Arabidopsis thaliana: one gene and its partner. The protein of the gene in region 2 interacts with the protein of the main gene of each other region in a pairwise test. Each region holds a gene or a part of one and is shown on either strand. Other genes may lie near its edges.

What was found. The genes of interacting proteins can lie anywhere in the genome.
Region 1: the proteins of XBAT32 (region 2) and NDL1 interact in a two-hybrid assay, tested with the Arabidopsis thaliana proteins (one large-scale study listed by BioGRID).

The regions. Positions count from the first base shown.
Region 1 is NC_003076.8:22,955,992-22,961,433, reverse strand, and holds NDL1 (N-MYC downregulated-like 1), read right to left. Parts: upstream 3,806-5,442; 5' UTR 3,449-3,805; coding exon 3,389-3,448; intron 2,926-3,388; exon of another isoform or gene 2,628-2,925; coding exon of another isoform or gene 2,625-2,627; intron 2,544-2,624; coding exon 2,444-2,543; intron 2,370-2,443; coding exon 2,272-2,369; intron 2,182-2,271; coding exon 2,093-2,181; intron 2,009-2,092; coding exon 1,948-2,008; intron 1,857-1,947; coding exon 1,692-1,856; intron 1,600-1,691; coding exon 1,543-1,599; intron 1,446-1,542; coding exon 1,390-1,445; intron 1,279-1,389; coding exon 1,143-1,278; intron 1,047-1,142; coding exon 828-1,046; 3' UTR 518-827; downstream 1-517. UniProt on the Arabidopsis thaliana protein: Interacts with the heterotrimeric G protein beta subunit GB1 and plays an significant role in GB1-dependent regulation of lateral root formation. Involved in a signaling pathway that modulates root auxin transport and auxin gradients.
Region 2 is NC_003076.8:23,394,041-23,399,485, reverse strand, and holds XBAT32 (uncharacterized protein), read left to right. Parts: upstream 1-1,835; 5' UTR 1,836-2,340; coding exon 2,341-2,535; intron 2,536-2,635; coding exon 2,636-2,695; intron 2,696-2,777; coding exon 2,778-2,849; intron 2,850-2,948; coding exon 2,949-3,115; intron 3,116-3,206; coding exon 3,207-3,367; intron 3,368-3,478; coding exon 3,479-3,537; intron 3,538-3,627; coding exon 3,628-3,674; intron 3,675-3,768; coding exon 3,769-3,918; intron 3,919-4,006; coding exon 4,007-4,098; intron 4,099-4,173; coding exon 4,174-4,697; 3' UTR 4,698-4,901; downstream 4,902-5,445. UniProt on the Arabidopsis thaliana protein: E3 ubiquitin-protein ligase that mediates ubiquitination of ACC synthases (ACS). Negatively regulates ethylene biosynthesis probably via ubiquitin-dependent degradation of ACS4 and ACS7 enzymes.

The DNA.
Region 1 (5,442 bases), 440 kb from region 2:
AGAGGTGCTGAGGTAAGTGAGCTTTGTTGTATTTGTAATTTACAAAACATCTTACGATGTTCAATACAAGAAATGGCCTTAATTTGATGTTATTATTCAATCATTAGTTATCCAAGAGTTTATACACTTCTTCTACTTTGTATTCGGGTTTGGCTCGGATTTACACTTGTCTGCATCCATTTTACGGGCTTGACAAACATCGAGGAGCATTGAACTTGTTCAGACTAAGTGAAGCATTCTTCGCCTTTACCCCGGTTCATGAGGGACTATGTTTTCGTCAACCGCAACTAATCCTTATGCGTATCTTATATCAGTATATAACTTACGGCTTCTGCAAAGAAGGATTGGTCTCCATTTCCATTTACAATTCAATTCAGACTAAAAAGTTTCAATCTGATGATCCAAATAGTTCAGGATCAAGACTGTTAAACCATTAAATATCAATATTAAGCAAAAACCAGATTCTAACTTGGTGAAATCAATGTGCTTGTAAGGCCAATTAGAGAACCAAAAACAAAATGCAAAATGAATTTTATTACTTGCTTCTGCAGAGTTCGTCACAAAACAATTGTTACAATGTCACAAGAACAGAACATTTTACATATGTATAAAAAAATGAAATAATAAACAACATTTTGTGGCATCTTAACAAGAGAACTGTCGTGTCGGCTGACTACAAAAGAATGTGTTATATGATGGTGGCTTGAATTTTTCTTCTTCGTCTTCTTCTTCTCAAATCTCCCTAGTATTGTTCTATATCTACAAAAGCCCTAAGATTTCTTCTCCTCAGCAAAATTAGAACCAATGAATCAGTAGTGCACACACACTTAAGCCGCCGAAATTCTGGTTTTGATAGGCTTAAGCTTTAATCCCATGCTTTCAGGAGAGAGAAGCTCAGGTGAAATACAAGAAGGGCTAAGTGGACTTCTAGGGCTCTCGGAGAAAAGAGATGGTCTGTATAATCCGTAACCCATCAAGAAATATTCCATTGGGATCAACATTGCATGTGGTTGCTCCTCTGTTACCATTGAACCACAAGCCTGAACCTGATAATATTTCCAAGAAAACATCTATTAGTAGCAAGAAAACCAAACATGTGTTTATATGTAAAGTACAAAGGATGAGGATTCGTTTTCTCAAACCTCAACCAAAGCACAGTATCCTCTATCCAAAGTTGCTGCCATGTGAACAGCTTCTGAGTAGAAAGGAGATTGATCTCCGATGAAGATAAGTGTCCTGCATTTTAGTTTCTTCAATCCACTTGAGATGTCAGGTCTCCTGCAAGAGCAAAGGTTTGGTTTGCATAAAGTTAAAGAAAAGTCAATATTTGACACCATGAATGAATGAATGCTTCTAAGGTAAAGGATTTCGAGGTGTTTGTTGTGTTACCGGTCAATGGCGTCAAGAAATCGCAAAACGTTTATGCCTTGTCTTTCATCAAGCAGCTGAGACAATCACCAAAAGTGCAAGGTGTGAATCACTGATACAGTAAAATCAATCTATTGATGAAACAGAAAAACAACAGAAGAGATAAACACTGACTCTTCTGCAAGCTTGTGCTATATCTGACTCTGGAATCTCAACGTTACCACGGACTTCCTGTAGCAAGCAGTTGCAACCGGTTTAAATAAGAGAAGTCTGGAAATGCAACAAGTGCAGAGAGAGAGCAATGGTAACTGCAGTGAACACACCTTACTAAAATATCTCTGAAGCAAAAATTCCTTTACCACTCCACACATTCCGTAATAATATAACAAGTTTGTGATAACCTTGTTGTAAAACCATTCAGACCAAGACGGCGCCTTGCATAACGGTGAGACAAGAATCAAACCAAGAACCCGTTCTCTATGTTTCATCTGAAAAGTTTTAAAACATAGAAGAGATGATAAACACAGTATTCTTCTGAAGCAATGGGCAATGAGAAGAGAAAAATAAATAGGAACATACCGCGAATAAGGTGAGGATATAAGCACCTGCAGTCACTCCCATACACATCACAACACCAAGGCTGAACAAAAAGCTTATACATTGTTACCCGAAAAACAAAAGTTGAGAACTTCAATAAGCCAAAAATAAGGGATTCCATCGTTACCCGAAAAAGTTGAGAACTTCAAGGATCTGATCTGCCAAGTTTTCAGCAGAAGGGACTGAATCATTAGGACAAATTGGAGCAGCTCCTAACTGCAAGAAAACAGAGAAGTCATGTGAGTAAGTAATCACGTCAAGCAAAGCATACGGCAAGTTAAAAAAAGAGAAACTAAAATATTGGACCTCATGCCCAGGTGGACTGATATGGTAAATGCAGAAGTTATGAAGCAGCAATGAAGCTGCTTCAGGACAGAAGAATAACCCTTGGAAGCATGACATATCTGAAGAAGAAACAACAAAAACATTAATAAATTTAGCCATTACATTAGTGCCTATAGAGATTCTTTAGCCTTACGGTTTAGGGCTAAATCAGGATAAGTAATCAATGCTGGCTTTTCTCTGTCTCCATAGACAATGACAGACACAACACCACTAGCAGTTTTAACACGATGCTCCTGAACACAAGAAACCAACAAGTTATAACAAAAGTAACGGATCATGAAACCAACAGAAAAAAACTAAACTTTTAACCATACCATTTGTCTACTCCATATTCATAAAACATGTGTTTGTAAACAATGAATCTATTTTCTCGTTAGTAAATGTATACTAAAGATAGGAATATGACAACTGACTTTAGGTGGAAAAGAAATGCTTTGATTAACACACACACAAAAAAGAAAACATCTCTGTTAAAGCTTTTCCATGTGCAGCTTTACTACTTTTAAGGGCAAAAAAACAAAACCAAAAACTTGATCATCAACAACCAAAGAGAAATGGCCTAATTCTAATCATTGTGGTTTTTTTTTAATAAAAAGGGAATGACAGTTTAAAAAAGATGAGCTAATATGAGTCTTAATGAGATAATAAAGAAGCATTAGTCTTATTAAACAAAAGGTTAATGGTAGACAAAAACAGCTGGCATTTTCTTTTCTTTTTTCTATAAGATAAAAAAATCAAAAGGCAATAAGACAAAGAATAAGGAATACAAAATAATAATAAGAAGAAGATATCTTTGAATAGAGAGAAGAAGAAGATCCCAAGAATAATCCCATCTGGAAATGAATCATAATAATAAAAGAAGTTTCACAAATCCACAAGCAAAGAATTTCTCCAAGAACATTTGATTCAAACAAAAGATGAGTCTTTTTTTTACAAAAACAAATGAATCTAACAATGCCCACATGTCTGTTCTTCCCCAAATCAACAGAAAGATTAGATTTAAGCAAGTTTAAGATAAACCCAGAAACAAAAATCAAAGCTTTATTCGGATCCGAGTTCAAAGGTTAAAGAATGAAACCTTGCCACCAAGATAGATTGTTCCAACGTCGACGGAGACGGCGCCGTAAGAGTCCGTCATTGGCAACAAAAGCTCTTCCGCTTAGCCGTCACCGTCGCCGTCGTTGTTTTAAGAACGCCGGGATAACAAGAGCTTCTTCTCTTTTCTTCTTCTTCTTCTCCCAACCTCTAGATTGTTTTTTGGCTTTTCTTTAGCTTATATACAAAGCGATGCCTTTTCTCTCTCCTCTCTCTTAAGACCTCTCTGGAAAAAGAAACGTTTTTTTTTCGTTTTCCTTTTTTTCTTCTCTTTCGTTTTACTCTCTCTATAAATTTTGCGGTGATTTCTCCATAGACGCCGGTAGTCGTAACATGACACGCGAACGGTCAAAAAACTTAAAATAAGAAACATTTTTAATTTGATTTATTTATAGAAACTTATTTTTGATAAATATTATTAACCAGCTCGAATTTCACCAATAACAGTCGAATACTAATTCGGAAAAATTGCTGTAAATAAATTGGATAATTGTATAAATGTAAACAAATATTAAATGTTGATAATTGGATAAGTAAGGGAGGTGCGAAGTTTTGGTTAACAACAAAATTAACATTAAGCAAACCGAATATAAATTTTTAGAGACTGTTTAGTTTTATTATTAAAAAAAAAAAGAGAAACCAAATTTTCTAAAAATACTATTACATATAAAAAATTATTTTTATGTAATAATATTAAGAACATCAATATTTAATAAACAATTGTATATTTATACTATTCGCAATTTTTTCACTTTGAGTTGGAAAAAATATATCTTAGTAGAAAATTAGAAATGGACTAATCTTAAACCATCAGATAGGCTTTCAAACATATTCCTATCATAAGAAACATGATGAGTAACACCACTATCTATGATCCATGTATTTTGTGATAACACTTGTCTAGAGGACGTTAGAGAACATAGTAACCATAAAGTCGAAGGTGAGAAAGAGATATCATTGAAAGCAAAACTTTGAAGTGACCAAATCTGCTGAGTTAGCTGATAAGACCTTGGCAAATTCGTAATGTGAAATCTAGTATCCAAGTCTTTCCAGATCTCTGCAGCATCATTGAAACGAAGTATACTCTTATAGATCTGCTTTGTAACAGAATTAAGGATCCTAGATTTAACCATACTGTTGCATCGTGACCACACTCTAAAGCTAGGATCAGATTCAGGAGGTCTTGGTAAAGTTCCATCAACAAAAGCAATCTTATTCTTAACGTTCAAAGAAACAAACATCGCAATCTTCCAAGAAGAGAAATTAGATCCATCAAGTACCTCAGAAACAAGTGTATTCCCAGGACTCACCATTTGAGAGCGCGAATGGCGAATAATGAGCATCCGAGAAGTCGAACTGTGGTAAAGGATAGATCGATGGTTTTGAATTGAAATTTTGTTGAAACGGATTCGAAATTGGTGGAATCGGTGGAATCGGTGAAGCTTGAACACGATCTGGAGTTTTCTCAGCTGAAGTTTTGCTCGATCTTCTAGTACGACGCCGCAATTTCTCTACGGAAACCATCGCAAGATCAACGAAGCTCTAAACAACTGAAATTTTCCAGAAAACGTAGAAAATTGAAGAAACAAAGAATCAACGAGTTTGGAAGATCCAAGAGCTCGAAGATACTCAGAGTTTAGGTTGAATCGGATGAATCTTCGAGATCCATCACTCTGATACCATAATAGTTGATGAACGAATTCAGAGAAATGAAGAAGATGAGAAAAATTTGTTATTCTTCTTAATTGTTCTGTTACATGAAACACTCTTTATATGTAGAGTGTTCCGGTTTAGTAACCGGTTTACATTGTACCAAACAACAATACAATAACCGAATTTATGGTTAATATCTTAAGTTAGACCTATTTCAAAACAAGCCTAATTTTCACAATAGTCAATTTTTTGTTGTTGAATATTTGGCCGAGAACTAGACTTCAATAATGGGGAAGAATAACTAAAATCGGTTCTTTCTCCTCTCCCAAAGTCAACTAGATTCACCAAGAATAACTAACTTTGGTTAATGATTACATGTTCTTA
Region 2 (5,445 bases):
TCCCAATACAGATGTATTGTTGTTCAAAAGCAACGTGGTTTCTTTGACATTAGACTAACAGAGCAGTAACGGATTAACAAACAGAGGAGAAAAAATTAAAAGGATTCGTTTTTTTCTTCGTTAATCAAGACAATTGGGAATAACAAAACAAGCATCAAAGATATTGTTATATGAACGTAATGATCTTACGAACGAAAGACAGACACTTTAACAGAATCTGTTATAGATTTGTCAACGAGATGAAGAAAAAAAGTAGCCTGACAAAATTACAAGCATGCGTATTTGCAGAGGGCTATACCAAGAACAACATAAAAAGACTCAAGGGAAGCTGGAACAGTAGGTGCAAAATGAGGATGATGCAGTATGTCAGAGACATGAACCATATGAAGTTCCCTAAAGCTTGGAAATTCAAGTTTAAATTTAGCTTAGAGGAGATCAAAATGACAAAAAACAAGTTCTGTTGTGAGGTGGAATTCGAGAAAGCTGCAGTGCATGTTGTTTGAGAACTTGAAGAAACTTTTGGGACATAGGCTTATGCAAGATGTTTCTCGCGAAATTGAAGCAGTGCATGGGAAGGAATGAGAATTAATGTTCAAAAGTCTGGATCTGGCTTGTCAAAGCAGACTATGAAGCCAAACTATGAGTGTGTGTTAATGTCTATGGAGTTGGCCATTCAACAAAGGATATCAGAAAGTCAAAATTGAGCTGGTTATACTCTAGACTTTTCAGGAACTTCACTTTCCATTGCAGCTATTTTGAAAATGTGTACAGAAGGTGAGGATATATGGTTACATTTGGAGGACGACTTGATGAGACATTCTAGACTACTTCACATCTCTCTCTTACAAAACACTAGGACAGTGAGGGTGTTGTGTTTGTGGTTCCAACATGTGCACATGCACCTACTTGATTGTGTGATGTGGACTCGAGAGAACATAGATGTGGAATAGTGGACATGTTTCAGACTGAATTACACAACTCATTTTTGGTGTGGAGAAGTTCCACATAAAGCACAAGTGGAGATTTAAGCTTGTACATCCAGTTTGGGAGTTGGAGTTTAGTTTGGATAGTGTTAACTCTGGACAAAGAAACTCTGCTACAAGTTCCAAAGTACAAGACAAATTGTCAACTAAAGAATTTTCTGTCAATTTACAGCAACTGGCCACAGTTTTGCACAATTGTGAGACACAAATTAGTGATTCTACAGAAAGTGAGATTGAAGATAGCTTGGGTCATCTTTAAAATCAAGTAATATTTGTTGAGAGTTTTTTTGATAAATATATTTGCTGAGAGTTGGCATGATCATTCTGATTTGCTAATGTTAAAATTTGAAGTCATTAATGTTATAGGTTTGCTAATGCAAATGCAATTATAAGCATGACGTGACACGACCCACATGCTCCTCCACATTTCATTATTATACACTTGTTTTTCCACTAATGTCATGTTACTTTTGGAGACTTGCTAATTGAATCATTATTTGTTGGCACAAAAAGAACCTATATTTATTCAATTACGCAGTATAGTAAGATTATTTATTTAATTATATGTAATAAAGGAGAAAGCTTTCTTATGGTGTGATGAAGAATGTCTTTTTTTTTTCATTGTTAGAGAATCTTTATAATCATTAAGATTTTGGTTAAAACAAAAAAACGCGCGAATTCCGGCTATTGGTTTATCGAAACCTCTGGCTACAACGTTGGCTTTGTCATATTTTTTTTTTGTTCAAATAATTAAAAGTCAATTAATTAGTGTCACCATCACAAAATATTAAGAGATCCTCCACACACAATAAAAAATTTAGAACAATTCTTTTCCATTTTTGGTTTAAAAATAAAGTAATCACCAATTTGTTATTATTGTTTGTTATTTTCCTTAATCAATTGACCAAAAAAAAAATCCCACAACTTAATTTCACCATTCTTTTTGATGTTCTCTGTATTACAATTGTCAGAGAAGTTTTCTGGATGATCTTTCCTCTAAAGTTTAAAGCTTTTTTTGGTCAATTCTTTTAAAGTTTTGATTTTTTTTTGGTTAATTCTTTAAAGTTTCTTTCTTTCTTAAAGAGGGATCATTATGATGATGATGATGATGATCTGATCTGTACATAAGAGAATTAAAGAACACCAACAACAACAAAAACAGAGGAAGAAAATAAAAACCAAATTTTTCTTGTTGCAATCATTTGAAATTAAATTCAATTCTTCGATTCTTCCGAGCTGGTTCTCGAATTGGGTTTGCTGCAAATTGTGAATCCAATAAAATTTGTTCGTGTTGTTGTGTTGATGGTGATTTGTTAGGGTTGATCCGATCAAAATTTCAATTTTGTATCGTAAAACGATGAGGTTTCTAAGCCTCGTCGGAAACTCATTCGGTTGTTCTGCGTCCGGCGAACGCTTAGTATCAGCGGCCAGAGACGGTGATTTACAGGAAGCTAAAGCTCTCTTAGATTACAATCCAAGACTCGCTCGTTACTCTACTTTTGGCGTTCGTAACTCTCCTCTTCATTACTCCGCCGCTCAAGGCCACCACGAGGTAACTGTAATTACTTGAAAGATCAATACTTTGTAAGATTAGAGATTCTAAAGTTCTGACTTTTATGGTGATTGGTGATTTGGGTTTTGTTTATCTTCAGATAGTTTCTCTGTTGGTGGAATCAGGAGTTGATATTAATCTCCGGAACTACCGTGGACAGGTGTTGTGATTAGTGTCTTTTTGTTCTTTGCATTATTGATTGGTTTTGAAGTAGTCTGAATACAAGAAATTTTTGGAAACAGACGGCTTTGATGCAAGCTTGTCAACATGGTCATTGGGAGGTTGTTTTGATTCTGATTCTTTTTGGTGCTAATGTAAGACTTTGATCAACTCTTCTGACTGATTGTGATTTAAAAATATGTCAGGGATATTGGAACAATGATGATTGTGTTTCTTGATTGTTCGGGTTTTAGATTCACAGATCAGATTACTTAAATGGTGGTACTGCTTTACACCTTGCGGCTTTAAATGGTCACCCTCGGTGTATCAGGATCTTGCTTTCGGAGTATATACCAAGTGTTCCTAATTGCTGGAGCCTTTTAAAGAATAAGAAAACTTCAGTTGCTGGATTCGATTCTAGGTCAAAAGTGTTTTTTGTAAAGAATTGAGGTAATGCTGTAGTCACTTGATGATGATTAGTTGAATGTGTTCTTTGGATGTTGTGGTTGTAGTGTTCTTCACGAAGTGATCAACAGAGCAGCAGATGGTGGAATCACACCTCTTCATGTGGCGGCTTTGAACGGACATATAGAGACGGTGCAGTTACTCTTGGATTTGGGAGCTTCGGTTACTCAGGTCACTGTGGAAGATGGAACTACTATAGATCTTATAGGTTACTATCATATGCTCTAATTGATTAACTTTGACAATGAGTGAAGAGATTCTTTATGTGAAAGACTTAATTTTGTTTTTCGCTCCGGCTCTTTGATTTTATATATTGAAGGTGCTGGGAGTACAGCTCTCCATTATGCTTCATGTGGTGGAAACACGCAGTGTTGCCAGGTATACATGCTTAACTAGACAATCATGATGCTTCTGTTATGTTTCGTTTAAAGTTCACATATGAATTCATTTGGCATTTGTTTTTCTCAGCTTTTGATCAGTAAGGGTGCTTGTTTAGCTGCCGTAAACTCCAACGGGTATTAGATCACTCTATTTCTCAGCATGCTAAATCCAATCAACCAGTTTGATATAGACCTCAATGTCTTAATTCGCTTCATGTTTTGGTTTTAGATGGACACCAATGATGGTAGCTCGTTCATGGCACCGAAACTGGCTGGAAGAAATCCTGAACCCAACAACAGAACAACCACAACTCCATTTGCCAAATGTCCCCTCTCCTTTCCTCTGCCTTCCTTTAATGAGCATTGTCAATATTGCTCAGTATGTAAACTTTACACCTAACTGAAACACCCTATATGATCGCATGATCTCTGTGGCTGATTGGTCTTTTTTCGTTTGTGGATTTCAGAGAATGCGGCTGGCGAGAAAACGATTGTCTGACTCCATGTCGTGACCCTTGTGCCGTTTGTTTGGAAAGAAAATGCACTGTGGCAGCAGATGGTAATGTACCACTTTCACTACCGAAAATGATCTTTGCTTAAAACATTGAATTGATTGTTGTGTGTGACATAACAGGATGTGCTCATGAGTTCTGCACAAACTGTGCATTATACCTAAGCACCACAAGCATAACATCGTCAAAGACCTCAAACGTCACACCAGGCTCTGTCCCGTGTCCTCTCTGTCGCAATGGCATTGTATCTTTCACCAAACTTCCCCATACAACGGCAACAACAAGAACATCAACATCATCAAGAACAAGCATCTCCTTGTCCTTCTGCACTTGCTCCTCTGATGTCTTAGACACAGCTCTCCTAACTAACCCTCACTACAGTTGTAAACCGGTTGTGTCAAGAACGGGTTCTCGAACTCCACAATCCGCTAGATCATCAGCGTTTCGGTCTCTTAGCTGCCGCCGGTTTCCTCCAAGTCTCTGCCTTGGTGGCTCAGATGTTGATGAACCTCGAAGCCGGTTAATTGGTGGATCATATTCAAGATCCGGTGTAGGATTCAGGCGATCAACGTCGCAGGTTGAAGGGAAACGTTCTTGGTTTTCTGCACTTAACCATTGTGTTACAACCGGTGGAAGTGCTTGCTAACTCAAACTCAATCCTCTTTTTTTTCACCTTTTTTATAAAATTTTTGATCCCAGTTTTTTTGGGATTAAAAATGTGCTAATTGATTCTGTGAATGGTGTGGTGATTATTCATTTTGTAATAAGTGAAAATGTTGTAATACAAATAATTAATTTGGCCTTGCCATTACATTGAAATGGTGTGTATATAAAATTATGTTTGAGAGTGAATTTCTTGCGTAGCCATTAGCATCGTTAAGGTATCACTTATCAAACACTTAACAGATAAACGAAGATTACATATATTTAGATAGACGTTTCAGAGGAACTAATAACTGAGAAATTATGGGATTAGTAGTGAATTATACATAAAGCTCAGGAGGAATAGAAACAACAAACCAATACAAAATAAAATACAAAAATGAAGAGAAGATAAAAGAAAATAAAAGAACAATACAAAACTAATAAGCCTTGCAAGGTCAAGAAAAATCTTCTAAATTATAGAAGAACTTTCTGATTTAGTAGAAACAAAACTATTTTTTGTTTTTTTCTGTTTTCATAGAGAAAAAAAAAAGCTCAGCGAGGATAATGCCAATGGAACACTAATGTCCAAGAAATCTTCTTCTCCGTGAGATAGTCACACGTTCGAAAGTACAACCATGATGTAGTGGAGAAGATAGAAAAAGTTGAAAGAGAGAAACGATCATCATTATGATCATAAATATCATGATGATTATGATGATGATCATCATGATCCTAATCAAGAAGAAGAG